Astyanax mexicanus: one gene and its partners. The protein of the gene in region 2 binds, or shares a complex with, the protein of the main gene of each other region. Links are inferred from orthologs where the notes say so. Each region holds a gene or a part of one and is shown on either strand. Other genes may lie near its edges. The genes, in order: polr3f, polr3c, polr3k and polr3d.

Region 1 (7,537 bases), on a different chromosome or scaffold from region 2:
TATCTCCTATTACTAGTGATGCTTCAACACCAGCAGGGTGAAGACTAGCACACGCCTCCTCCAACACATATGAATTCAGACTCCGCCTCAAGTAGCATCACAGCACTAATGCTCGGAGGAAAGCGCAGCGACTCGGTTCTGATACATTAGCTCACAGATGCAGCCTTGTGCTGATCCACATCACCCTAGGAGTGCTGATGGGGAAAGAGAGAGCGCCATCTACTGTACTGTACCCACCCAGAGAGAGCAAGGACAACTGTGCTTACTCGGGGCTCCGGCAGCTGGTGGCAAGCTGCATAACCAGGATTCAAACCATAATAAACCATAATGATATGTATTCAGACCCCGTGTTGATTCCACGTAGCCCCCCAAAAACCCTGACAATGACAATTAGGAGCAGGTTATTTACCTTTATTCCCAGCATCCTCAATAATCTGGTAAACCAGCTTCTCTTGGTTGTCAGAGCCCTTCATTTTACTGGAAACACATAAAAACACATTAAACATCAAAACATGTTGTAAAAGCATATAAATCTTTATATAAATACTCTTTAATAATAAGTTAAAGGCTTTTACCTTGCCAACTGGACATCCTTCAGCCTGTACAACAAGCCATTGCTGTTTCTGAGAAGATCGAGTTGGCCCTGCAGATCATAATGCAAAATTTACTTTAAGAATGTGAACAATTAAATATTAATATTTATTCAGATTAAAACAAATATTTAAATAATGATGATATAATCTTCAAACTAGTGGTGTCATTCGATTAAAAAATGTAATCTGATTTATCATGACAATATTCTGTGACATCCCACCCTGCAAAAACTCATTTTAGGTTAGTGGTTAGCTCCTTTAAACGTCCTTCTGTCATTTATGATGGTCTATTTGTCTCTCTCTCACTGTGTGTGTAATTAAAAACATGATTTTAGGCATAACTTATATAATTTGTTAAATTGATCATTTTAAATGTATTAAAATTAATTAATTATTAAAATCTTTTATACTGTCCTAACTTTTACTGATTCAGGGTTGTATATTATATATATATTATTTTACTGCATATCGTCGCTGTCCAATGAAAAACACTTATCTCCATCCAAAACAGCAACTTTACAGGAGAGAGAAAAAAACATTGTAAACTTTCAATGGAAGTCAATGTAAAAAGAGTTTATTTCAGGTCATTTTGAAGAGTTTCTATTAGTCTGTTCATCAAGAAATTTTGGCACAGTGTGAAGGACAGTTTGTCTGTTCAAATTATGTAGTAAATTAAAATCGACAAAAATGGAGATACTTTTTTTTCATTGGACAGCAAAGATATACAGCAAATATATAAATAAACAGCAAATATATAAAGGCTTGATTTTCCTCCACCAGGTCTGTTAGTACCTGTGCAGGTATTGAACACTCACCACAGACAGCAGCCGGTTGATGGCCATGGCCCGCTGCTGGGGCTCCACATGAGGCAGGTCATTCTGGATCACCTGATCAGTGATGCCATGAGGAAACTGCTGACAGAGCTCCTTAATCCTAAACACAAATCAAATTAATATACATCATCAAGCTTTTTCTATAATTTTCTATAATTTTCTATACATCATAAATGATCCGGTTAGAACCCCTTGTTTTATGATAAGACACACTACAGAGTTATCAAATAAAAACGTTATCGGTCCCAGAAAAAAAAAAAACATGCGTAAAATTATGTAATTATGTAAATTGTTTATATAATTCAAAGTAGAATCTAAAATAACTAGACCTCACCAGGTCCTGTTCTGATTAATGTAGAGATCAATGCTCCAACACAGAGGGTCAACCACAGCTATTCCAATTTTATTCTATTATATTATACCCTAACTATGACTAAGAAGACCAATTTTAACACTCAGTCCTGTTACCTAAATTAGTTCTTAGATCTTATTTGTTTATATTTTTTAAAATACAAATTTTGAGAAAATCACTAGAATGTGATCAGTGTCCACACGCCATTTAGCTATTTTTCATGTTTTTGCTAATTCGATGCTTAATTAACAGTAGTCTCTGCCAGTAACTGGAGTGAGTTCCAGTAACAGGACTGAGTTCCATTAACAGAAGTGAGTTCCAGTAACAGGAGGGAGCGGCAGTAACAGGAGGGAGCGCCAGTAACAGGAGGGAGTGCCAGTAACAGGAGGGAGTGTCTTGAACAGGAGTCATTTTTTTTGTATTTTTTTTAGATAAATATTAATTATTTGAACATGCAGTCTATAGCCATTTCTTTAAAATAAAGACTTTATTGAGTGAAAAATTAAAGGAATTAGTCGACTTATAAACTTTTAAACATGTTTTTAAATGACACGTGAGTTTTGTAACCATCTTCAGATTAGAAACTTGTAAAAAAAAAAAAAAAAGAAGTAAAGCTGCCTGAGTTTGACCAGTACATGTTTGGAATAGTTAAACATGTGTAATATTAGATTTAGAGTTGAAAAAAGATTTAAAAAAATAATAAAAGTTTTATTTGGAAGAGTTACAACAGCAAATAGCACACAATCGGTGGAATAGTAAATATATTTTGCAGGCATCAGAGAACCCATAATAAAATTTGGGAGACTCCCTGGATTTCAATGAAAGTTGGGATCTCTGGTTTATACTGTATGCAATGTAATAAAACTTTTTTTTAACTTTTAAACATGTTTTATTTTATTTGCGTTTTTATTTACTATTCAAAAATTTCTAAAATGTACTGATACACTTGGATCAGCTCTCTTAGAGTCTGGAGAGTCTGAGAACCTGCAGGTTTCAGTGATCAGACTTTAACCCAGGGCTGATCTCGCCTACTGAAACTCACCTGTTCTCAATATCCACCGGATCCGGATTCTCCTTCTTCACCTTCACATCCCCCATCACTGCTGACCGATCAGAACCTGGGTTCTAGATACAGCAGAACATCCAGATCCTCTCCACATTTACAGCACTGTAAACACAGCAGAAACAGCGTGCCGCAGGTGTACTGTCCAGTAATACTACCCGTCGATATGTGCTTCTAAACCGCACTGCGCATGCGCTGAACCATATTTTAAACGTTTTCTTTATGTTTTAATGTGTTTTTAATCTGCTTGACAGCTACAAAACTGTAAATTGCAATTTAAAAAGTAAATTTGCAATAAAAAAATATTGCAAATAATAAACTATTAAACAATAAGTCTTTTAAAAATATTTTTTTGACCATAACGTTACCTGATACAGTAATTTAACCTATATAAATATCCTACCTACACTTCTGCGGGAGATAAAAATATAGTGTTTTTTTGTGTATTTTATGTTTAAATATACTTTATTTAAAGCACGGTTTGGCAAAGTAACACAATTTGACAAAACACCGGGTCCTTCCCCCTCCCACAGCCTGTTCCGCTCGGTTTAGGAGTCTCACGGAAAGCCTGTTTAAAAATGAACTGCTCAGATAAAAGCGTATTTACAGTTTATTTTTAATAATAAAAAAGCAGTTCTCGTTCATGTCGTCTCTATTTAAAACAAAAACAAAAAATAAACACGAGAAGCACTGTAAAACCAGCTGGACGCTTCTTAACCGCACTGCGCATGCGCCCAATCATATTTTTGTAATGTATGCGTATGTTTTTAGAATACTTTTGTTTTATATCTGTATGTTATATGTATATGTATATATGTATATTTAATATATATATATATATTACCAACTATCTATCTATCTAGCTGAATAGAGATGTTACAGAGACTGTTCAGAGTCTATCTGCTGTTGGATGAACATTCAAGAACAATACCGTAAAAATAATATAATATAATAATGTTTTTATTTGTAAAAGTATAAAAATTGTATTTTTTTACTGTTTTAAATGAATAATAAACAAATATACACTTTGAAAAAAAATGTTTTTTATTCTGTGACTGACATATAAGCTAAGGTCGTTTGCCATTGGCTGACACGGTTGCTAGGGGCTACGCGCTGGACCAATAGCAGCGCGTTTTGCTGTGCGGTGTAGTTGATGGTTGTTGCAGCGGTGGATACGGTACACATGCAGGAGATCTGCAGCCTGAACCCGGAGCACAGGTACAGGTGAGGAGCTGAGCATTGCTAAAGACCCGCACCTGGATTAACACCTGTATTCCCTCAGGATCTGTAATTTACTGCAGATCTGAGGCTTATATATCTGTAGAGAATCTGTAGAGAGGAGATTCCGGGTTTATCAGACACTAGAGGGCGCTCCTGAGAGAGACAACAATTAATGGTTTATTTGGAGCAACTGAGAAAAAAATTGAATTTATCATTTTTAAAGCTTTTACACTACAGGTATAAACATTTTAAAGTATACTAGTGCATCTCAAAAAATAGAATATCATTGAAAAGTAACTTTATTCCAGTAATTCAGTTCAAAATGTGAAACTCATATATTATATAGATGTATTAAACACAGAGTCATCTATTTTAAGTGTGTATTTATTGTTGTTAATGATTATTGCTTACAGCCAATGAAAACCCAAAAATTAGGATCTCAGAAAATTATAATATTATATATTAAGACCAATTAGTACTTTTAGCAGTGTGGGCAGTGTGCCAAGTCCTGCTAGAAAATGAAATCTGCATCTCCATAAAAGTTATCAGTAGCAGAGGGAAGCTGTAAGATATGAAGTGCTGTAAGATTTTGTGGGAAAACAAAACTGCACTGACTTTGGACTTGATATAACACACATTTTATTCATTTATTTTAATTTAAACATATATTATTAATGCAATAAGGTATTATAAAGAAATAAAATTTAATTATATAATTGTATTTTCATTTAATTATCTTGTGGAGTGATGAAGCATTACGTCTAATCAGAGGGCAAATCTTAGGGGGTTTAGAGAGCCTGTGTTTTTATAAAAATAGTGATATTTTACACCATATATCAATAATGCATTGTAAATGATTCAATATATTGCAATAGAGATTTTTTTTTCATCCCATCTCTACTATTGGGACCCATAATAATAAAGCGCACTGCACATGCGCCCAACCATGTTTTTTATGTTTTAATGTGTTTTAACAATCATTTCGTTTTCCTTGTGTGCATTAAACCACCTGCTTGAAAGTTACAATACTGTAAATTGCAATTTAAAAAGTAAATTTGCAATAAAAATATTGCAAACAATAAACTATTAAACAATAAGTATTTTTAAAATATTTTTTAGACCATAACGTTACCTGGTACTGGTAATTTAACCAATGTAAATATCCTACCTGCACTTCTGCGGGAGATTTTTTAAATATAGTGTTTTTGTGTACATTTAAAAAAATGTTTTAATCCTTCATGGATGCTGTTGTCTTCATTACAGAATATCAGAGCGTATTATTTGGAGCGCTGGTCCCTCTGAACAGCTTCACCCTCTGACTGATAATGACTGCAGGCTCCATCACAGCTCCGTTCATCATCCCCATCCGAGTGCCGCCTCCTGGTAAAGCCAAGCATGAGATAGACACCAGCACACCTGTGGAGATTAAATCAGGTGGGGATGAGTTCACTGTTTTCCTGCACTGATGCAGAGCTACTGTATGAACTGTATAATTAAAGGGTTTCTCTGGTTTCAGACTCTCCTGATGTGAGTGTTTTCTACACGCTGGACGGGAGTAAACCGGAGGTGTTGAGGAGGCCGGAGGTTAGAGGCAGCAGCACCATGACCTACAGCGAACCCATATACCTACCCAGCGGGAAAGTGTCTGTGAGAGCGCTGGCCGTCACCAGGTAGAGGTCCAACTCTCTCAAATATGCTCAAAAATCATATTAAGATGCATTTTTTGATAACCATTGATTTTAAGCTCTATCTGGATGGGATCAGTTTCTCAGGGGGTTTTGGGGTAATTTTCTCTTTTATGGGGGTTTTTATCTTCTGTGATTTTATACCTGTCCAGAACGATCATGTACGTGTTTTTCTCAGTCGTCCTCTGAGAAAATTACAGGCTGAATTATCTACTGTTTTTCTCTGTCCCGTCCGGACGCACATCTCTGAGTTTCATCTCCTCGCCTTTAATAAAATAGCTATTTGTCCACTGCCGCGCACTGTAATTACACTTTAATAAAATCACAGAGGATAAAAAAAAACATAAAAGAGAAACTAATGCCGTGCGGATAGGGCTTTAAAGGTGGACTAAACTGTTTGGGAGGAGCACTGTGTGATGTATGGGTTTAGAGGCGGGGCAGGAGGCAGAGCTGATTGGCTGATCGGATCTATGGCGAGCAGAAACCAAACTCTTAAAGCACTAAGAAACTTACAACATGTTCTTTAGTACGGTTTAGTATGGAAGTATTTAGTACTATGCACCTTTTGGGTGTAACCAGTATTTGCTGTATTGTATATGTGCATTATTGTTAAGCTTCAGATTGACAGACAGGTTCTTCTCGTATTTCTCTGCAGTGATGGTCGGCAGAGTGCTGTTGTTACTAAAGTCTTCGTGGTGGAGCAGATTCCCTCCGAGCTGCAGGACTACGAGGAAAACCAGCTGGATTCCTCCACCCAGCAGGTTTTTTAATTTATATATATTTTTTTCACACTTTTTACAGAATCCCAGCTGTCGAAGTTTGGGCTGTAGAAGAAAATAATTATTCTATTAACTTAAAACACGTTAAAACACATTTACATTTAAATCTACACAAATCAGTAAAAAAAAACAGTCCTGTGATTGATCCTGTGTAGCGTATTGAGAATTTGTAATGTTTATTAAAAAATAATGTCTTTCCTTACTATTATTTTATATTATTTAGCCAAAAATGTTGTGTAACAGGGTAGTTAAAGTGACACTTATTCACGTTTTAAGTTTATTGTGCTTCTAAATGTGACTTGTGTCTTGTTGTTTAATAATTTTGTTTAATTTAAGTTAAATATGTATATTTAACAGAATCATACCTCCTCTCCGAATGGAGATGCAGAGGCCTCTGGAAAACACTTGGGTATGTTTTTGGGCTTAAAAATCCAGCTTGTTTAGCCACCTATGCTAAACCATTAGCTTTCATAAACGTTAATAATTATTAATATGTTTTATAATTATATTAGTTGGCTTAAAAAACTCCCAATTAAGCGTAACTACAAGTAAATACAACAGCAGCTTTAGTTAATCCATTATTTTTTCAATTATTGGTTGTTTTTAAAATCACAAATATAAACAGAAAAAGGAGAAATAAAGTAAAAGTAAAAAAGCTTAAATATTGTAGAGGTCCAGCTAGTTGCTTCCTCAGGACTTTTACAAAAAAATGTATGATTTAATTATATTAATAAATATTTTTTATTTTTTTATTTTATAAATTATTTTTAGATAATTCTTTCAGTGGATCCCGTCGGGTTCGAAAAGGCCCTCGGTTTCTTTCCCAGCGATTAAACTCAGCATCTGGGTCCCAGCCCACAAAACACACACAGGTTAGTGTTCTGATGCCGATGTTTTATTTTTTGATTAAAGCCAATTTATACTTCATCATCAAAACTAAACGTATCCTGTTGCGCACGTCCCAGAAATGTACCTACACAGACACCGTAGGCAGCTGCATAGGGCGCTCGC
Region 2 (7,252 bases):
TCCCTTAAGTAGAGAATTGCCCCTAAATAATCTCTTCAGTGTTGCATAAAGTCCTTTAACAATCTTTTCCCCAGAACTATTTATGAGACCCAAAACTGTAACAACTGAAATCTGAGGAAACATCTTATTGAGATTAATTGTTTAGTACACAAAGAGAGAGTGAAAGTGAGTGAGAGAGTGAAAGAGAGAGAGAGCAAGTGAGAGAGAGAAAGAGAGAGAAAGAGAGAGAGAGAGGTGGCTGACAGGCAACTGAACTGTAATCTACATCCCCAAATCAGAAAAAGTCCGGACCGTGTGGAAACAGCACTGGATCAAAAACCGTCATTTAACAAAAAACAATAAAACCACAAGAGATGACTTTACACAACTTAATCACCAACAAACTCTACAATACAGAATTACTAAATTTACTAACACCACTTACAAATTTACTGTGCACAACACAAGCCTTATATTACATTACACAACAGGCCAGTGATTGTGACAAATAAAAGAAAGTAAATGGAAGAAACACTGTGGTTTATTAAAATCTATATTTTCCAAAACTGCCCCAACCTTTTCAAAATTGGAGGCAGTGAATCCAGCACGCTGCACCCCGGCATCATTAGTAAAGCCAAAGGTTTTGTATAGACTAAGAGCAATTTTAGGAACCAGGTTCTAGATACTGACCGGTGAGGTGGACCTGTGGTATTAGATAGCAGTCTGGGTGAGTCTCGGGCCGAGCAGGCTGGGGAACAGCGGAAGCGTCCGATGATCCTGAAGATGCTTTTCCAGCTGTTCCCATACTGTCCACTGGAGGGCAGCGCTGCAGGAAATGGGTCTCCACCAACCGGGTAAACGCAGTGATGACCTCACTGTATTCCATACTCTGACCATCTACACACACACACAGAATTGTATCACTGTTTAATTTTATTATAAGAAACCACTACCCTGTGCTTCCACTCTCTGGCCACTTTATTGGAAACTCCTACATCCGCACACTTACCCTCCATGCTGTGGGTCAGCCGGTCGGCGACGGTCCTCACGGTGCAGCTCATGGTCATCTGACCCCTCTGGAGAATCTCCTCGATCACCAGCTCGCCAGTGTCTCCGTACAGGCTCTTGGCGGTGTAGATGTATCGTGGGTAGCGCAGCATGTAGAGAATACGCTCACAGTTAGCCGTGTACTCCACCGGACCCCCGGGACCCCGGCGGCCCGGTCCAAACACACACATCCCATGCTGGACCAGCACACACAGAGACTTCTTCACCTAGGAGATCATTAAAGGGAAAGTTCAACCAAAAATCTACAGACAATTAACTGGAGCTATAAGGTTATCTGAGCCAGAGCTTAGTGAATAATAAGTTATTACAGTTCTTACAGGAGCAAAATCACACAGCCATCATCTCAAACCCCAGATACAATTCTTCAGCCAACACAGTTCTGCTCTCTGAGCTGTGCTTATTTAGTTAATAGCAGGAGACGCTAGGCTCATTTTGCTAAAAATCTGAATTTAGACCGGCACAAACACCATCACCGCACAACATGTTCTGGAGTATAACAATTTACGTCCAGTCGATTAACTTTAGCTTAGCATGCACTTATTATAAAATGACACTCAGAAATAAATCCATACAATGTGCTTAAATGTTAAGGTGTTCCTCAAGGCAGCAGACCTTTTTGTTTTTGTTTTGGTATCACTGTCACTGTTTTTACCATTATTGTGTTTTGTTGTTAATGTTACTATTTTGGTATTATTATCATTCATTTAATTATTAATTTTGTATTGTTTGTGTTCTGTGTACCCTTGGGTGGGTGGGATCTGGGTTGTTGTTTGTAAAATTGTGAAAAGTGAAAACCTATAAATAAAGTTATATAAAAAATAAAAAAAAACCTTTAGCTTAGCATGTTCTGTAATAAAGCTGTGATTGGTCAGGGGGAGGGTACTGTAATAATAAGTCACCATGTTTTCCTCCTGGTGAAAGATTGTATAATTCATCATCTGTGTAATTATTTAGTCCTGTAGTGTACAAACCACACCCACTAAAATATTTCTCATTACAGTAGAGTATAGTAGAGTATAGTAGAGTACAGTACCAGGTCGAGTGGGGTGCTGGTCTGATGGGCTAAAGCTCTCAGGTTTAGAGCTCCACTCCTCAGGAGCTCCGTCCCCATCTTCTCCACCACCTCCCCAAAATGCTCCTGCAGCAGCAGCCCACACAACCGCACCTCCTGCGCCGTCATCTAAACACACACACACACACACACACTTACACACATCACATAAACACACTAAAATCACACAATTTTAAGTTACTAAGTTAACGTTAGCTGTTAGCTGAGTTAGGTAGCATTAGTTGAGTTATTGAGCTAGCTGTTAACTGAGTTTGTTAGCGTAGGTTTAGTTATTGAGTTTGCTATTAGCTGAGTTAGTTAGCGTTAGTTATTAAATTAGCTATTAGCTAAGTAATTTAGCGTTAGTTGAGGTACTAAGTTAGCTGTTAGCTGAGTAAGTTAACGTTCGTTGAGTTACTAAGTTAGCTGTTAGCTGAGTAAGTTAACGTTAGTTGAGTTACTGAGTTAGCTGTTAGCCGAGTTAGTTAGCGTTAGTTGAGTTACTGAGTTAGCTGTTACATTAGTTAGTTAGCGTTAGTTTAATTATTGAGTTAGCTGTTAGCTGAGTTAGTTGAGATACTGAGTTAGTTGTTAGCTGAGTTAGTTGAGATACTGAGTTAGTTGTTAGCTGAGTTAGTTGAGTTAGTTGGTTGAGTTATTGAGTTAGGTGGCGGATTTGGCGGATTTAGCCGGGTAGCGCTGCTGCGGCTTTCGGGCTGTAGGTAAGTATCCCTCCGCCTCCCCAGTAAATAAAGAGCCGTACTAACCTTTGGGTCTCCGGTCTGCACTGCAGTGCTGCTCCGCACCGCTTTAATAAACCGGGCAGGAACTGAATTATTACAGAATTTAATACTGGATTAATCTATAAACCCTCTCACACACACCGGCTACTACACACACCTCACACGCGCTTACAGAACCGATTCACTGATTCACTGATTCAAATCCATCACCAGCCGATTCTGTGCAGTTTCAAAAATCCGCACAAACAATAACTATCGCTAGTATTATTGTTATTGCTGTTTATAATAATAATAATAATAATAATAATAATAATAATAATAATAATAAAAAGAAGAATATCTAGATAGATAGATAGATAGATAGATAGATAGATAGATAGATACTTTATTTATCCCGAAGGAAATTTAGGCATCCAGCAGCAACAACACAATACAATAAGAAACATCCTCAGACAAATCAAAACACAGAAGAACAGAAAATATATAAGGCTATAAAAACCTAACTATACAAGGTAAGGATCTATCTCTAAACGGAGCAGTGCAGATGTTGCTAATGCTAATTAAATAATTAACAGAGTAAAGTGCAATGTGCAATGACATTGATTACGAAAGTGATTGATGTGACATAGAAATATAATATAAATATGCATACGTTAGAAGACAGTTCTAAAAAGAGAATGTGAAAATGTGAATACCCAATCAGGAGTAAAGTGTATTTGAATGTAAGTGAGGTTGGGGAAATGTAAATAATTAAGTGATTGGGCCTGAATAACATTAAATAAACGTTGTTTTGGTTGCATCGTATAAGAGCTGAAATTCGGAGTTTAAATTAAATTAGTTATAATATCTGTGTAAACAGGAGCACAGCGCGACCTGTAGGAAAACGGGGGTTACGGCGCGCGATCAAAAAGCTAAGAATCAAAAGAGTCGGTTCGCTGAATTCAATCGAACGGGCACATACGGCGTCACGGGCCTAGCCCCGCCCCGGCGCTGACGTCAGCGCTCGGGCCCTCTTCCCCCTGTGTGTAAGATGGCGGAGGCTGCTGCGGTTCCTCCGCACCGCTTCTTCTGTCACTGCTGTAAGGGCGAGGTGAGCCCCAAACTCCCGGTAAGAACCGCCGTCCGCTCGCCGCTCTCCTCCCGCTTCGTGCCGCCGCCGCCGCCGCCTGCCCGCTGTCCTGCTTGGGGCAGCTCGGCTCGGGTTAGCGCCGTTGTTTTTGGGTTGAACCAGAACCGGATTTACAGCTTTATTTCTGGGTTTAAATGCGGACTATAAAGCGGTTTAAGTTATGTTTCACTTGTGTGGCTTTTCCGAGCTGTTAAACTCACCTCCTTCCGCTGTAACCCGGTCTAAGGCTCGCAGCGGCGGCTGTGTTTCCACTGTTGCTGTGATCTCAATTCGGATTCTGAGATCCAGATTTGGCCGCTGGTTTATAGTTGTGTGCTATATAATCCGGTGTGAGAGTGAGTTGGTACTGTAGTTCAGTAACGTTAGTTCAGAGAGTATCTGGGTTAGGGGGGTTTCGAGTTTGAAGGCCACAGTTAAACTGAAAGTGATATAAAAGAACTTCCTCTGTTCTGATCTGTTTTACTTTTGGGATTTAATGCGGATTAAATTGCGGTTTAATATGTGTTGAAATAATTTATTGATTTGTTGTGGTGGTAACAACACACAGCTATCAGAACCCTCAAAACATTGCCGCTCTCCGAGTTTACACTGATCACAATTCAGTTCCTGAAATCCGGATCAGCTGCATTAGCTGTTTGTGTAAGTGTGTGTGTGTGTGTGTGTGTGTGGGGCTGGTAGCACAGAAAGCAGCTGATCCTGATTGGAAACCATAAACAAACTGAAAGTGAAATAAAACTAAATATTAAAGAGTTTAAAGGGGAATTCCTCTGAAATGTGACCAATCGTGTGTGTTGTATTTTGTGTTTGTGTTGTATTTCGTGGTTAACTTTTGGCATATCACCATATATCTCAGTACAAAATATTGTAATAAAGATGTTATGAATATTAAGCATATTTCTGATATTTTTATGTACATTATGTAAACACCTGTCACTGATGATCATTACAGGAAGCAGATTGTTTTTCTGAAGTTTGCAGGTTCAGTGTAAAGTTAGTTTTAAAGTTAATTTAGCTCAAAGTCTTTATTTTATGGGTGTGAGAATGTGATTCTGTTTGCAGTAACTCAGTGTAAGTAAGGAATAGTTTACATATGAAGATTGGTGTCAGAAGTGCTTGATTTAGTGTTGTCATAGTTAGTAATTTTTAACACTCAGATTATACACTGTGAGCTTTTCTAAAATGTAATGTGAGCAGTAAATGGTATTGTTTAGAGTAGCAGTGGATATATTGGTGAGCACAGTTCTGTATCTGATAGTGTTAAATCAGTGGTGAACATGAACAGTGGTCCGAGCAAGTCTGTGTCCTTAATTTATATAAATTAATCTAAGTTTTTGTAATCTAAGTATGGTAAATTTATTTTAACACTTTTTTTATATAGCAGTATTTTGACACTCAGATTGATAAGTCTGCTCTGAGAAGCCTTTTCTCTCCAGCGCTGCTCGGTCCAGTTAAAACGGACTCCGGTTGGTTTGGACTCTTGTTGCAGTTTATGGCTGGTGTGAACCCGTGAGAGCAGGTGTCTCTGTCCTGCTCTAAACCAACTCCGGTGTGGTTCTGTTTTTGGTGAGAAGGTGATCTGACCCGATATTCAGATATACTCCTTATGTTTGAGCTAAACTGCGGTTCAGGTGCAGTTTAATCTGATTTATTACCCAGATAATTACTACAGCTATTAACTAATACTAATCTTTGCTGCTGCTGTATGCCAAGCTGTTTGACATTGAACGCTGTGTATGCAGCGTTCAATGCTCACGGCCATGCAACTGTGTTTACTGCACAAACATCTCATTTAAAAAAACTAGCAAATTTCCAGCATTTAGTGTTAAATCAGCTTCACACTGAGCAGCTAAACACAGTGGTCTGGAACACAGAACCTTCTAGCTATATTTACCTTCTTGCTAAGACAGCTCTGGCCAATTAGAGGAGAATGTGCTTGCGTGGTTGGTTGGGAAGCGCTTTGCTGCATTTAGGTTTGTACCTGTGTGAAAACAAACCAAACCGAGGGAGAAACTCTCCCAGTAAACAAACTTTAGAGCAGGTTTAGAGCAGAGAAACCAACTACAGGTGTAAAACACTATTAGACATGGTGTCTCACCACAGTTACCGTACTGTTTATTATTCATAATTCCAAAATGTGCTCAAAACTGTTACAAAAAACACAATAATATATTATATTCACCAGGGAGGCAATATGGCCCTAAAATAATATCACAGTGTTTCAGGGTATATTTATGATAACTATATTTTTAGTAATGTGGCAAAACATATTCAGCTTCAGTTTTCAGCATTTACAACTGCAACTAAATAAATGATATTTATATAGTGTAACTGTATAAAAGGTTCACTAGAAGTGAAACTACATGAGTTCTGATAATAAAAACGAAAGATAGAAAATTGTACAGATTTAATCCACATCAAATCAAACAACAGGATCTACTAATCTAACAGCACAGCGACATCACTCTTATTAAACAGAGGTTAATTTAGATCGGAAATATAGTTCGCATCACCAGTTAGCCTTTAGTCATCGTGGCTAATCAATCCACTGTTGTGATCTTCATAATAAGAGTCTTCAGGCCAGCTCTTATTTGCTAAGTAAACTTTTAATCAAAATTTGGTCTAATATTAGTTTTTCATTTGTGTCTCGTTTTAAATTCTTTTATGTTTGGCCGGTATATTTTATTATTACAGAGCAACACATTTCAGCTTTTAATGTAAAAATGTATTAGAGTGTAGTTATTTTAAGTAGTGTAGAATCTCTTGAAATAACCGTATAAACGTAATATATATGTGTTACCGTATAAACATAATAATAGTTTAATGTTTATAGTAGTTAAATGTTTAGAGTGAGTAAAAGAGGCAGCTGTAATAAACTGGTCTAGTGTTGTAATATACAGTATTTTCAACATCTGTTATTAACTGATGTTCATTCGAGGAAGCTTTTAGTATCAGAAGTATCAAACTAAATACAAATGTCTTAGATATGGGTATTTTATTGCTGGTTAATTACAATAATAGAGAGAGAAATATTAAAGATAAAGCTAGTTTTAATTGGTGAGTTTTAGTTATTTACGTGGCGTTTCTGCTGCCGGAGTTTTGGAGAATGCTAATGTCTGTTTGTTTGTGTGTTTAGGAGTATATCTGCCCGCGTTGTGACTCTGGGTTTATCGAGGAGGTGACGGAAGATTCCAGGTGAGATGATTAATCTGGTTTTCTGTCGCTCACTCTGATGGTATGCTGAAACTCCAGCAGGACCGGTTTCTTCCTCAGCCTGCAGTAAAA
Region 3 (7,009 bases), on a different chromosome or scaffold from region 2:
AGGATCCATAAATAGTCAGTCCATACAGATCCACAGCCGGCTCAGTCTCTCCAGCGATGGCCACACTGTGGACTGCAGCACTTGTAGAAGGTGGTCATGGGTTCATCAGCAGATCTGGTCTGAATCTGCATGAAGTACGCTCTCGGGTGCTCACACTTCGGACAGGTTTCTGAAGATTAAAAGACAGGAAAAAGTTATATGATAAAGTTTATTTACTGCAACTTACTTTATTACTGTTCCTGCCCTCAATCTAAATATTTTTATAAATAATTATGTATTAATATTTATCATAAATGTCAGCAATCAGGGTTCCTCAGTGTAGCCCTTTCAGGAGGCATTTGCTAGCACTAGTGGTTAGCCACAAATGCTAATGCTAATGCTGCTGCACCCAGCCTTAGTGGAAATCTGGAAATCTAAGCTTACTGTAAATAAACAGAAACGCTTTAAATATTCTAATAAATAAATAGGTATGAATATTCATCATAAACGTGAGCAATCAGGGTTCCTCAGTGTAGCCCTGTCAGGAGGCATTTGCTAGCGCTAGTGGTTAGCCACAAATGCTAATGCTGCTGCACCAAGCTTTAGTGGAAATCTGGAAATCTAAGCTTACTGTAAATAAACGGAAGCGATTTAAACATTCTGATAAATAAATATATATGAATATTCATCATAAACATGAGCAAACTGGATCAGAATCACAGAGAAATCATTAGAAATTCTAGTAAAATACACATAATATTTAAAATCAAATATACTGTTACTGATACTGTTCACACTGTAAGGCTTAAAATCCTTAACACTTAAAAGTGCTCCTTATGTATGAATTCTATCAGTCAGGTATTAAGGAGCAGTAAAGCCTCTCCGCTGAAGTACAGAGTTATACAGGAGTTTCAGTTTAGTTCTCCAGCAGTATTAGCACTAGCTGCTAACCAAGCTAAGCGCTAGCTCTTTTGTAGTTCAAAGCAGAGTATATCAGTCTGTAGTCAGCGTGTTTGCCGTGTTAAAACGGGCCTACCGGAACACTCAGGGTTCCTCAGTGTAGTGCTGTCGGGCAGCATTTACTAGTGCTAGCTGCTAATGCTAATGCTGCTGCACCCAGCCTTTGTGGAGATCTGGAAATCTAAGCTTACTGTAAATAAACAGAAGCGCTTAACTCACCCAAATTAGACATCATCATAAACATCCAGGCCATATCTTCCATATGTTAATTCTTTATTTAATCATTTATTGATCATCAATATTTACCTGCTGTGGAATCCACGTTCTCCCAGGCAGCAGCTCCCCCGAGAACATCGTCCACCTCCTTCAGTTTGGGGTATTTTCTGTTATTCACCTGAAAGCAACAAATAAAATACAAACATCCACATCAATATGGTAATCAATAAAAAAAGAATATAACACAAACGATATATACACATTTAAATGCAAATGTGAACTTTAATACAAAGCATGCATATAAAACCATAAAGTTTAATCAATGTTGAATCAACATAAAATCAATGTGCACAAACAAATCAGTTCTGATGACGGAGGTCAACCTTTTAGTGATGGAAAAATGAACGTTGATTAAACATTTAAGGGACACTTGCTGTGCATATTGAGAAGAGGACAGATGTCAGCCATACAGACAGTGCAGGTACACAGGTATGTAATAATTTAGCAGTGCAAATTTGAATGGGGTAAAATAATAAAAAAGATAATAAGTTTGAGATACAGTTACAAATCTATTGTATATTATATTTTCAGCTAATCAATTTCAGCTGCATGACAAAGAATATTATATAACCAACTAAACACAAATTACCTTACTTGTTTTTTTCCACTTACTAAATACTGTACTTCTATACACTATACTACTATATACTGTACTATATACTGTATTATTATATACTATTCTACTATACACACTATACTAAATATTGTATTATTATATACTAAACTTCTATGTACTATACTGCTATATATAATTTACTATACTATATACTATACACTATATTACAATATACTCATATACTACACTACTATATACACTATACTACTATATACTGTATTATTATATATTTTACTGCTATATATACTTTACTATATTATATACTATACTACTATATACTGTACTATTACATACTATATTACAATATACTCTTATATACAACACTACTATATACACTATACTAATAAATACTGTGTTATTATTATACATTATACTGCTACATATACACTTTACTATATTATATACTATACTACTATATACTATACTATTACATACTATATTACAATATACTTTTATATACTACACTACTATATACACTATACTACTATATACTGTATTATTATATACTATATTGCTATATATACTATATTATATACTATACTACTATATACTATACTATTATATACTATATTACAATATACTCGTATATACTATACTACTATATACAATACTATAGTACTATTTACTATACAATACACTACATAACATACTATTATATACTATACACTATACTACACTATATACTTTACTATACTATTATATAATATACTATATACTATTTATCAAAACAGTAACTTAACTGCAGGTTGCTAAATCAACACGTGTTTGGGGTAAATTCAGGATTAAATAGGTTAAATTCAGTGATTAGAGAAATGAACAGGATCTAACAATAGAGAATATCCTTATTAAACAGGTTTTATTACTAATATAGAGCTGAATATTAATAATATTAGTAATATATAGATTTACCTTCCTGGTGATGTTGTGAATGTAAGGGCAGGTATTGCAGGCGAACCGGTAACATTTCTGCCCTTCCTCTACTATTAACACATTCCCACAGGCCGGACAGAACAGCAGCATCTCTATATAACTCTATACTAACTCTATATAACTCTATAAATTAGTTTAATGCTCTAATTCCAGCAGAATTGCTGGATATTTCTCACGGTTAGCTCCTCCTGCTATCTGTGCTAACTACAGCAGTGCTCCTCAGTAACGAGTCCGACTGGAAACAACACAGACTAACACACAGTCTGAAAAACAGCACAGATTAAACTACTGTAAAATCATACCAGTTATAGCAGTTTATCAGTATTTAATACAGTTTTAACACGTATTAATACATTATCTTGTTTAAACGTGTTGTTAATCTGTTGTATGATCCAGTTTCTCTGTTCTTTTGGACCCAGGTTCAGATATTATAGCTGCGTGTTGCCGGCCGGCGCTGTAACGCGGGGACACGGTAAGTGCTGTGTTTGTTTGTGCTGCAGTTTATTCTGATTTAATTCACTTATAAAGCGATTTATTAAGGATAATAAAGAAATATAAATCTATTATAGACACCCAGTGAGGCCTGAGTAAAAATAAACACTCATATTTCCTCTCTAACGTGGTTAATTTAGCTCATTTATCTGCTTTTCTCCTCATTTACAAACATTTTGGTCAGTAATCCCAAAATTGCTGTGTATTAAAATATTTTAAATCAGTTGCTGAAGGTGTTTTAACGCTGCAGTTATGATGCAGTGTGAATACAGTGCAGAGAAAAAACTATTTACCCACCTACTTTTGCTTTTCTTTCGTTTTTGCTTTTTTTTGCATATTTAATTTGTACAAACTTTAATATCAGACACATGTGAACTAAAAAAAATGCAAAAAGCAGGTTTTAACCCCTTTTTATGGCATGGTATTGCTTTCAGGCAACAAAACGCTTGCTGTTGACTATTGTATTATCATTTCAGTGTGTTTATTATTATTGTGACTATTTTGTTTTCCTTTTATGACTAAATATATATATATATATATATATATATATATATATATATATATATATATATATATATATATATATATATAATATTTTTATTTATTTCTTTTTTTTTTCTTAACTTGTTAAGTTGCAAGACATAATGTTGCCCTGGGCACCCCTAATAATTTTCATGAATTTCCTTTATAAATCATTGGTTGTTCGGATCAGCAATTTCAGTTAAATATTTCATATAGCAGACAAACAAAGTGATATTTGAAAAGTGAAATAAAGTTTATAGGATTTACAGAAAGTGTGCTCAATAATTATTTAAACTAAATTAGAAAGAAATGCTGATCTGAACAACCAATGATTTATAAAGAAAAAACGTAACCACATTAATCACAAAAAACGTAATGATGAAACTGGCACTCATCAGGACCGCCCAATAAAGAAAGAGCAAGAGAGTCTCAGAAACTACAAGTTAACAGCCCCCCAGATAAGAGCACCTAAATGTTCACAGAGTATTTTGGTGTGATTGACACTTTTAAGTTACTACATGATTCCTTGTGTGTTTTCTTTCTTTAAAAAAATAATTAAAAAAACATTAAATCAGAAGCTGTGTTCAAATTTTGAACTTTGAGACTTTGGTACTGTATTTGTAGAGGTAACAGAAAAATGTAGCCCTAATTCTAGAATGTGCCGTATAATCGTTTATAAAAGCATTTAATAAATAATTATAATCTATAATCTCTAATATTATCTGTTGTGTATTTGCCCACAGGTGACCAGAATCAGATTAGCAATCCCCTTAAAGTATTGACCACAATGGAAGAAGAAGACCTAAAGACAGAACCACAGACAGAAAACATGCTAGAGACTGAAATGATGGAGAAGAGTGCTGAAGACGTTTTAAAAGAGGAAGAGGAAGATGAGGAGGCGCTGCCTCATTCAGAAGTTTTGGACATCTTTGAGGAAGGGCTGGCTATGATGGTGCAGGACCCTCTACTGTGTGATCTGCCTATACAGGTGTGTATAAGGGGACATACAGCTCTGGATAAAATGAAGAGATCACTTCAGTTTCTGAATCAGTTTCTCTGATTTTGCTATTTATAGGTTTATGTTTGAGTAAAATGAACATTGTTGTTTTATTCTATAAACTACAGACAACATTTCTCCCAAATCTGACATTGCAAAGACTGTTATTAGTGTAAAAATCTCTTTATTTTAAAATGTTGTCCGTATTGCTGCCTCCTGGTGTCGCAGTGCTGTTAGCCAATCAGCCGCGATATGTTTGCATGTATGAATATTCATGAGCAAGAGCTGAAATCCTATAGCCTCTCCCCGCCCACTCCTCCACCGGACTAAAGCAGCGTTATACCAGATCAGTGGAGCACTTTTTTATTTTTTTTTTATTTACCCAAAAAACAGCTCTTACATTCATATTAGAGACCACAGACATATTAAAATAAAAAAATAAAAAAAACGATGGAATGAGACCTTTAATGCAATACAGTGCCAAGAAGTTGCAAAACAGTCAGGATTCCAATATGTGTATATTAAAGTCAATGAATAGAATTGCAATGAAAAAATGTCCAGGAGACATTAGTGAGATTCTGGAAAAAATTATCTATTAAGCCACTGGGATTTCAAATTGTATTGTTACATATAATGGTCTATTTACTGAGGTTTGTGAAGCGACACTGTCACATGGACAGATGCACCCGCCACCATGTTTTACAGTATTTAATGTTGTTATAAAAGGACACATAAAGCACTACCTATTGTTCTAAATTTGTGGTTAGTGAATAAGGCACACACTGTACTGTAACAATAAAGAATCCATTTAAATAGAACATTCTGTAACCATATTTAATTGATCTAATAAATATGATCTGATGTTAATTGTATCCTCTCTCTCCTGTAGGTGACTCTGGAGGAGGTGAACTCTCAGGTGGCTCTGGAGTACGGGCAGGCCATGACTGTTCGAGTGTGTAAAGCTGATGGAGAGATCATGCGTAAGTTAATTTATGTGTTTAGGTGTTGTTTCTGGAATAAACTGTAATGGATGCTTTGAATGATAAAGTCTTATTCTGTAAAATTTAAAGTGTACAATAAAAATCATTAATGGATTGAGTTTAATTTTCAATCAGCCATCGTGGTGGTGCAGTCTGCTACAGTGCTGGATCTGAAGAAGGCCATTCAGCGCTACATGGAGCTGAAGCAGCAGCGCGAAGGAGGCATCAAACACATCAGCTGGTAAACCTGATATACCAGTTCATCTAGTGATCCAGAGTGATCTATTTTAAGTGTTTATTTCTTTTATTGTTGAAGATTATGGCTTACAGCCAATAAAAAAACAAAAATCAGTGTCTCAGAAAATTAGAATATTATTATAAGACCATTTGGTACTTTTGGCAGTGTGGGCAGTGTGCCAAGTCCTGCTGGAAAATGAAATCTGCATCTCTATAAAAGTTGTCAGTAGCAGAGGGAAGCATGAAGTGCTGTAAGATTTTGTGGGAAAACAAAACTGCACTGACTTTAGACTTGATAATAAAACACAGTGGATCAACACCAGCAGATGACAGACATGTCTCTCCAAACCATCACTGATCATCAGTAAATTTTACATTTCATTTAAAGTAAATCAAGGGAGCAGAGTCTGGAGGAAGAGTGGAGAGACACACAGTCCAAACTGCTCGAGGTCTAGTGTGAAGTTTCCACCAATCAGTGATGGTTTGGATAAAGAGACATGACATCTGCACTGTGTTTTATTAAGTGCGGATTTCATTTTCCAGCAGGACTTTGCACACTGCCCACAGTACTGCCAAAAGTACCAGTTGTTCTTATATAATATTCTAATTTTCTGAGATACTGATTTTTGGGTTTTCATTGGCTGTAATCCTCATAATCATCAACAATAAAATAAATAAAAGCTTAAAATAGATCACTCTGTGTTTAATACATCTATATAATATATATAGATGAGTTTCACGTTTTCAACTAAATTACTAAAATAAAGTAACTTTTCAGTGATATTCTATTTTTTTTAGATAAACTAGTATTTATTAAAATTAATCAATTTAATAATAAAATGACTTTTCGTTTAATGTCTTGTGTAAATTACAGTATCAGAAATGTTTATTTCTATTTTTTTTATTTCTATGTGGAAGGAAATATGTGTGGAGGACGTTTCACTTGGTATTTAATGGAGAAAGACTAGAGGAGGACAAATGGAAACTGAAGGAGTGAGTACACACTGATGCACACCATGC
Region 4 (7,043 bases), on a different chromosome or scaffold from region 2:
ATGTCAGTTTGACTAGTTTTTTCAAAACTTTAGCGTATTTTGAAAAGGTCAAAAGGTCATCTGGAAAAACAAAAAATGTGTGAACTTTCCAATTGAACACTCCTGATAAACAATGACAACATGTGGAAAACCTTTGGCACATTCTAACGAATATGAATGAATATTCTACAAACCTCAACAGATTTGTATATATAAAATTAAGCACTGATTATGTTTTAAGGACTCTGATAAACAATGATAACAGATGAAAGCCTTTTGACCATCTCCAAAATGTGACAGTGTGTCCCAAATTGTATTAGACCTTCTGAAACATCACCAACCTTTACTCTAGTAGGCATCATTGTGCCAGTTTGTGCTTAAACTTAGACTGCCGCTTTTGGCTATATTTTGTTTTATTTTTGTTACAATATTATTATTTTATAAAACGTTTCTGGCCTTTAGAAATTATGAAGACAAATAACTTTTAAAAACATTATCCTTTTAATCACATTTCAGTCTGGACTGCCATTGCTAGATATTTAATTATTTCCCTTTTTGGAATTCATGCCCCATAAGCACACTTACGTTGTCTCTTTCCAGTTTGCGCAGAATCTCTTTGGTCTCCTCCTCAGTCTCCCTCTTCTCCTTCTTAATGTTGATGATGGGGGAGGGGCCAGTGTTGGGCGTTTCTCTTGCATCATCATATACACCTAACAAAGAAACAAAAAGTCAGAAAGCAAGAAAAATGCATGATTCTCTTTTACTGCTGAGAACTACTGGTACTACATAAAGTACACATTCGTGCTTCTTTATTTTTCTTTATTTTTAATGGTCAAATGGTTAAATGGCTGACCTTGTATAGTTAGCATAAAAATGAGTATTTAATTTGGCCCAGCCTGTTTATTAATACTAGTTTAAAGCAGTATTATTCTCCTGGGTTTCCCCTACAGTTGTGAAGTGTAATTCACTTCTATTTCATTGCAGTAAATACAAACTGAGTTTTGTGCTCCCACTCATGAACAGGCTGTACATATGCATTTGTTAATAAGCTGAGAGATACACTGTTGGCATCAGAAGTGATAGAAGCATGTGGAAATAGATGGTAGAGTAATACTAAATTTTTTGTGGTTCTTGTCATTGCATTTCCCCCTGACCTGTATTTTATCATACCTCTCCTCTTGGCCATCATTTCCGCAGGGCCCTGCTCAAAGATAGAGTGGGACTGAATGACCTCTGGGCGACCCCGACCTCTGCCACGCCCGTCTCGCTGCCGCCCTCGATCCGCATCTTTCCTTTCTCTCCTGGGTCCCTCATCAGCTTTCAATCTGCAACAAAACAGCACAGCTACTGTAAAGTAAGGCCAGCTAAGGGTCATTATATTACACTGGAAAAGACATTTGATTGCAATACACTCATGTAAAAACTTACTCTTCTTTACTTTTACGACCAATGATGTTAGGTGTGAATGTTTTCTGTGGGGCAGAACAAGAGAGAGAGCACAGTTGCTTAATACACTGACACTGTTTTTTTTTTTTTTTACCAGTGAAAACAATGCAATCTGGTGTACCTTTTTTACACCTCCCAGTGTGAGGTCTCTTGAGCGCATGGTGGGGAGACGACCGGGAGAGAGAGCAGCAGGCAGCCTGCGGCCAAGCACTGAACCTCTGCCACCACCTCCAGGCTGAGGGGTACGGGGTGGTCCAGAATCACCAGAGCCTGGTGTGGCCATTTTCACACTATAATTACATGCAAAATTTGACATTTAATCATTGCTGTGAATTGTTTAGTGCTTTGCATTACATAGTCAGTACGACAACTATTGTTAATATGGTGTTACATGCTGTGTAAAGTACTGCAGATTCATACTAATATTCCATAATATTCCATAATGGTTACTGATTAGTAAATAAAACAGTACACATACAGCTCATCACTGCTGTCCAATGAAAACCTCCATTTCTGTCTGTTTTATGTTTTGTGAATGACTTGAATCCTGTGGATGCTCTCTACACTGTGTAAATAATTATTGATGAATGGACCAATAGAAATGATCTATTAATGTGGAATGAACTCTTATTTTGCATTGAATTCCATGGAAATTATGAAAATTTTTGCCTTTTGCTGTAAAGTCACAGTTTTGGAGGAACTTGTTTTTTAGCGGACAGCGACAATATTCACACAGGATTACAATCAGGTCACTATTACTGCTGTCAGTGTATATATATTCTCAAGTTACTACAGTCATGCTGGAAAACACATTATATATTTATATTGGCTAAACATAAGACACATATACATATTCATGCTATATTAAAATTACTTTAAAGTTATTACTGTCAAACTGTAGATTCATACTGGATTAACAGTATGGATTATCTATACACTTAAAAACTACAAATTCAAGATAATTACATACTGGATCAGAACCTGTTAATTTTCATTGTGATTAATGTCAAACTTCATAACCCACAAACTGCATATTCAAACTGGCAAAATACACTAAATACACACTAGTTTTAACTACTTAAAATACCCAATATCAATAAGCACAAAATCACCACCATTCCATTTTTTTCATTATTATTATTTTTTTGGCTTTGCTATTGTAAGTCCCTTATTTGTGCCTTTTATTTAAAATATTTCCTGACAGCAGTAAGACGCCACCAAATTAACTGTGCAGACCTCGCTGTTTACACTGTTTTCTCACAGGGACTTTATGTAACCGTTCTGCTACAGGTAACTTAAAAGTGCTGAGCGGCTGCAGTTCCCTCCCTCACTGTAAACACATGGCAACACATGGCTAAACTGCCGGCCGCTCAGCCGCTGAACAGGGAGCCGGCGGGCTAGTTTAGCTCATAATTTACTGCCACTGAAGAAAACGACGAGGTATTTACCTGCGAGCTGCCTGCTGTCCTACCTGAGCTCCTCAGAGTTTCCAAATTAAACCAATAAAAATAAATCTCACGAGACACAAGTTAGAATAGGGCGGAGTTTTAGTAACGACACGAAAGAGGAAGTGACGGAAAACATGTCGGTGCGCTCAAATCGGCATTACCCCTACTCCCTGTTCCCTACTCCCTACTACATACTGCCTACTCTCTAGTCCTTTTTCCTGCTGCCTGTTCCCTACTGACTACTCCCTGTTCCCTACTCTCTACCTCCTGTTTCTTCTTGTTGACTACTCCCTACTGCTTGTTTCCAATTCCAATAGTGCCTCCCTACTGCCTAGTCTCTGTTCCTATCTACTTGTTGGCTACTCCCTGTTCCCTACTCTTTACTCCCTAATGCCTATTTCATACTCCCTATTCCCTACTTCCTATTCTCTACTCCTTAATGCCTACTTCTGTTCCTCACTGTCTACTATGCCTACTCCCCACAAACTGTTCCCTACTCCCTGTTTCCTCTCGCTACTCCCTTTTCCACTAGTCCTTACTCCCTACGTTTTATCAGAAGCATTTTTCAGTTGTGACTATTTTCTGCACATTTTCAATTTCCCCAGTTATATAAAAAATACGGTAAATGGAGCGCATGTGTTAATAAATGGTGGTGAATGAAGCTAAATGGCTTATAATAGTGTCTACTACTTACTACCAGTATATTCTTACTGTTTGTAAAGTATATTACAGTATTTTGCTAAAATTAAGCAAAACATTTTTCTACAACAAATGTTTTTGGTAAACAGAGACACTAGCAATACTGCTACTGTGTGATGACTTGTCTGTGAGCTGACGCTGAAGTAACCGCGTACTGGAGCTTTAAAATTATGTGAAACATTTAATATGGTTCCGTGTTGAGAAATTGAGATTTTTCAATATAAAAATATAAACCATTTACAATCTATGATTTGCTCAATTGCTATGAGCTCATTCATTTGGAATCATTCTGGAGTGCCCTCTAGTGACTGACAAACCCAGAACATATTCTCAAGTGGGTATTGTCTTCTGTAAAAGTAAGTTATATCTCTGAGTATATCTGCATTAAATCGATATTTATAAACTATCGCATAATATATTAGCGGTTTTCCACTACATACATTTCAATCTTTTATATATAACACATGTAATTAATATTTTATGATGTGGAGATTTCCTGTCCAATTATGAAGCCTGTCACACTTGTATTTTGAAAAAGCTTTCAAGCCGGTGGGTCACTTCCTATTCCGGCCAGCTTGGCTCGAGGTAAACAAACTGCACGGTTGATATTTTATAAGTACTTTATTTTTATACCTCTGATGTAAAAACAGTCTAAATACTGATAAATTGACGTCTACTATCCCGCTACCTCGAGCTACAGTTGAAGAGCGCACTGTTTCAGTTAGCTGTATTGTCGCTAACCTGGTTGTACAGGAGCAGCTCTGTTAGCAAGCTAAGCTATGTTAGCTAGCTAAACTAGCTGGAGTGTTTGTACTGCTTGGTTTTTTATGTCTTGCTAACGCTAGCTTAACTAGTTAGTTAAACTGTTTTAATAGTGTTGGTTGTGTTGATGGTAGCTAGCTAAGTGTAATCTTATAATTCTGCTTCATTAAAGCCCCTGAAAACCAAACATGACCCGACACGGGAAGAACTGCACTGCGGGAGCTGTGTACACCTACCACGAGAAGAGGAAAGATACAGGTCTGTTTCTGGCTCCTTTAAAATGTGTAAATGTTTTTTTTTCTCTGTTTGCAGCTTTGCACAAATACAGCTGCAGAAACACAGAACGAGTCCAGAAGGTGTAACAGCTCGACCCAATTCACCAATTTATATTAACTATTAAGACTTTTTTTCAAATTTTAAGCTCCCAAATTTTAAAGTCCTAAAAAGAGTCTATGATTCATGATGTGATTTAAACCACAGAATTGTTCACATGTCTGCTTTTTTAACAGTGGACTCCATTATCCTATAATGTAAACAAATCCCAGTTAAGAAAACACTTGCTAATAATGTGAAAAAAGTGAGCTTTAAGAAGACCTTCCTCCCTGTTCCCTACTTTCTACTCCCTACTCCCTGTTTCCTTCTTCCTACTCTCTGTTCCCTACTTTGTACTTCCTACTCTCTACTTCTTACTCCCTGTTCAATACTCCCTGTTCTCTTCTCCCTACTCCCTGTTCCATACTCCCTATTCCCTGTTACTTGTTCTCTACCTCCTACTCTCAGTTCCTTAGTTCCTACTCCTTGTTCCCTACTTCTTTCTCTCTGTTCTCTACTTCCTACTCCCTATTTCCTACTCTCTACTTCATACTCCCTGTTCCATACTCCCTGTTCACTACTTGCTACTCCCTACTACCTATTTCCTACTTCCTGTTCTTTTTTTATAATTTTCACCGCAATTAAAACATGATGTGGGAGCCAGAACTGTCTTCCTGTTTTGTCTTCTGATGGCCTCTGTCTATTCCCTACAGCTGCTTCTGGATATGGAACTCAGAGTGTGCGCCTGGGGAAAGACGCGATTAAAGATTTCGACTGTTGCTGCCTCTCATTACAGCCCTGCAGAGACCCGGTTGTAACGTAGGTGGACTTTCACAAGTTATAAACTTAAACTTAGATACAGCTAAAACAATATATGGGATTTAACTGAGCATGATGTCTGTATTATTCAGTAGTTAATATGTCTGGATCATTAAGAGTGAAATATGTTGTACAGCTATTTTTTAAAATTAATTTACAGCAGTGGAAACAGGGGTTGCATTGACCTCAACACGAAAACTGGCATTTGATGTACTGTCCAATAAACACTAGTGAATCTGCACCTGTAGAATTACGATTAGTAATAATGCCTTAATATGAAAAGTGATCATAATAAAAATAATAAATTGGATTTTTTTTCATCGTTATTTAATTGCACAGCATTTTACTTGCATGCTAACAATTTTATGTATATATGTATATTATGTTGCAACCTCCACATATTTTATATCTCTATCTTCATGTACAGTATCCAAATAAACGTTTGGACACACCTTAAAGCAAGTTAACAGCAAGTTAACTGCACCACAGATAAAAGCCACCTAAATGCTTCACTATTTTGGTTTTTTTAACACTTATGTTTACTACATGATTCCTTATGTTATCCTTCTTAGTCTGGATAACTTCAGCATTCATTTACAATGTAGGAAAAATCTGAATAAGAAGGTGTGTCCAAATTTAGTCAGGTACTCTATATGTCTCGTATATATTTTATTATATATCTATATATTTATGTTTTATCCTTTCTGTCTTTATCTTGATTTTTAAAAGGTTCCATAATTTCAATGAATTATTAGTCTTTATTTAATATCAATAAAAATAAATAATAATTTAATAAATTTAGAATTTATGTTTTAATAATTTAAAACAATTTAGAAACCTTTACTCTAAAATAACCTAAAATTATTAATTAGACAGTGTTTTTTAAATCTTAGCTTTTCCTATGTAGTTTTCTATTATAATACACAATTGAATTCATAATCACTGTCCTGATATTTCTGGGGTTGTTAAACCAAGGTCCTTTTGTAACATACAAATAAACATCAAAAAGACAAAACAAGATAATTCTCTAGGAGATCTAGATCTTTATTCTCATGTGTCTGTTGCTTTACAGTGAAGATGGATTCCTCTATGAAAGAGAGGCAATACTGGAGTACATTCTCCATCAGAAATTGGATATTGCTAAGAAGATGAAGGTTTGTGAAGGCTTTGACTGCAGCTCAACTCTTTACGTTCTGTATATTATACTACAATCCTTACAATATTAGTATTTATCTCTCCCTCTCTTTTATATGCTTCAACTCCCCAAGGCCTACGAGAAGCAGAAACAGGCTCTGAAGAGTGAGGGACAGCTGGAGTCCTGCTCAGAGGAGAGGGAGAAAGTAGAGAAGTTCAAGAAAAGAGAGGGCAGCATTGTCTCCAAACCAATCAATCCTTTTATTTCAGGTACAAGGGGACAAATTCAGTTCATGTTTGTGTAATACACTTATGTACATTTATGACCTCATATTATTTAATTTATTGTCATGCAGAGGAGTCTATATTCAGTGTTAAAAAGAATTTGTTAAATAAAATAACCACATTTGGTTCCCTAAAGATAAAGGTTTAAAGAAGACTTAA

Evidence for each region.
Region 1: polr3c (region 2) and polr3f share a complex: the UniProt entries of both Homo sapiens proteins name them as parts of the RNA polymerase III complex. The link is inferred for Astyanax mexicanus from reciprocal best matches to the Homo sapiens genes POLR3C and POLR3F.
Region 3: polr3c (region 2) and polr3k share a complex: the UniProt entries of both Homo sapiens proteins name them as parts of the RNA polymerase III complex. The link is inferred for Astyanax mexicanus from reciprocal best matches to the Homo sapiens genes POLR3C and POLR3K.
Region 4: polr3c (region 2) and polr3d share a complex: the UniProt entries of both Homo sapiens proteins name them as parts of the RNA polymerase III complex. The link is inferred for Astyanax mexicanus from reciprocal best matches to the Homo sapiens genes POLR3C and POLR3D.

The regions. Positions count from the first base shown.
Region 1 is NC_064430.1:23,772,278-23,779,814, forward strand, and holds the start of polr3f (DNA-directed RNA polymerase III subunit RPC6), read right to left. Parts: upstream 3,004-7,537; 5' UTR 2,877-3,003; coding exon 2,821-2,876; intron 1,527-2,820; coding exon 1,409-1,526; intron 644-1,408; coding exon 576-643; intron 478-575; coding exon 410-477; intron 1-409. Other genes in the region: dzank1 (double zinc ribbon and ankyrin repeat-containing protein 1), read left to right, coding at 5,388-5,496, 5,579-5,732, 6,403-6,508, 6,884-6,935, 7,298-7,398. UniProt on the Homo sapiens protein: DNA-dependent RNA polymerase catalyzes the transcription of DNA into RNA using the four ribonucleoside triphosphates as substrates.
Region 2 is NC_064413.1:36,273-43,524, reverse strand, and holds the start of polr3c (DNA-directed RNA polymerase III subunit RPC3), read right to left. Parts: upstream 3,026-7,252; 5' UTR 2,866-3,025; intron 2,228-2,865; coding exon 2,081-2,227; intron 1,254-2,080; coding exon 989-1,253; intron 877-988; coding exon 670-876; intron 1-669. Other genes in the region: rnf115a (E3 ubiquitin-protein ligase RNF115), read left to right, coding at 3,872-3,949, 7,104-7,162. UniProt on the Homo sapiens protein: DNA-dependent RNA polymerase catalyzes the transcription of DNA into RNA using the four ribonucleoside triphosphates as substrates.
Region 3 is NC_064410.1:60,607,050-60,614,058, reverse strand, and holds the start of polr3k (DNA-directed RNA polymerase III subunit RPC10), read right to left. Parts: upstream 3,003-7,009; 5' UTR 2,852-3,002; coding exon 2,741-2,851; intron 1,334-2,740; coding exon 1,246-1,333; intron 170-1,245; coding exon 42-169; 3' UTR 1-41. Other genes in the region: snrnp25 (U11/U12 small nuclear ribonucleoprotein 25 kDa protein), read left to right, coding at 3,149-3,233, 4,519-4,763, 5,662-5,752, 5,888-5,993, 6,908-6,982. UniProt on the Homo sapiens protein: Core component of RNA polymerase III (Pol III) which synthesizes small non-coding RNAs using the four ribonucleoside triphosphates as substrates. Can mediate Pol I proofreading of the nascent RNA transcript.
Region 4 is NC_064426.1:19,991,559-19,998,601, reverse strand, and holds the start of polr3d (DNA-directed RNA polymerase III subunit RPC4), read right to left. Parts: upstream 3,003-7,043; 5' UTR 2,874-3,002; intron 1,716-2,873; 5' UTR 1,709-1,715; coding exon 1,547-1,708; intron 1,452-1,546; coding exon 1,408-1,451; intron 1,305-1,407; coding exon 1,150-1,304; intron 690-1,149; coding exon 565-689; intron 1-564. Other genes in the region: nitric oxide synthase-interacting protein, read left to right, coding at 4,523-4,592, 5,360-5,465, 6,538-6,619, 6,734-6,869. UniProt on the Homo sapiens protein: DNA-dependent RNA polymerase catalyzes the transcription of DNA into RNA using the four ribonucleoside triphosphates as substrates.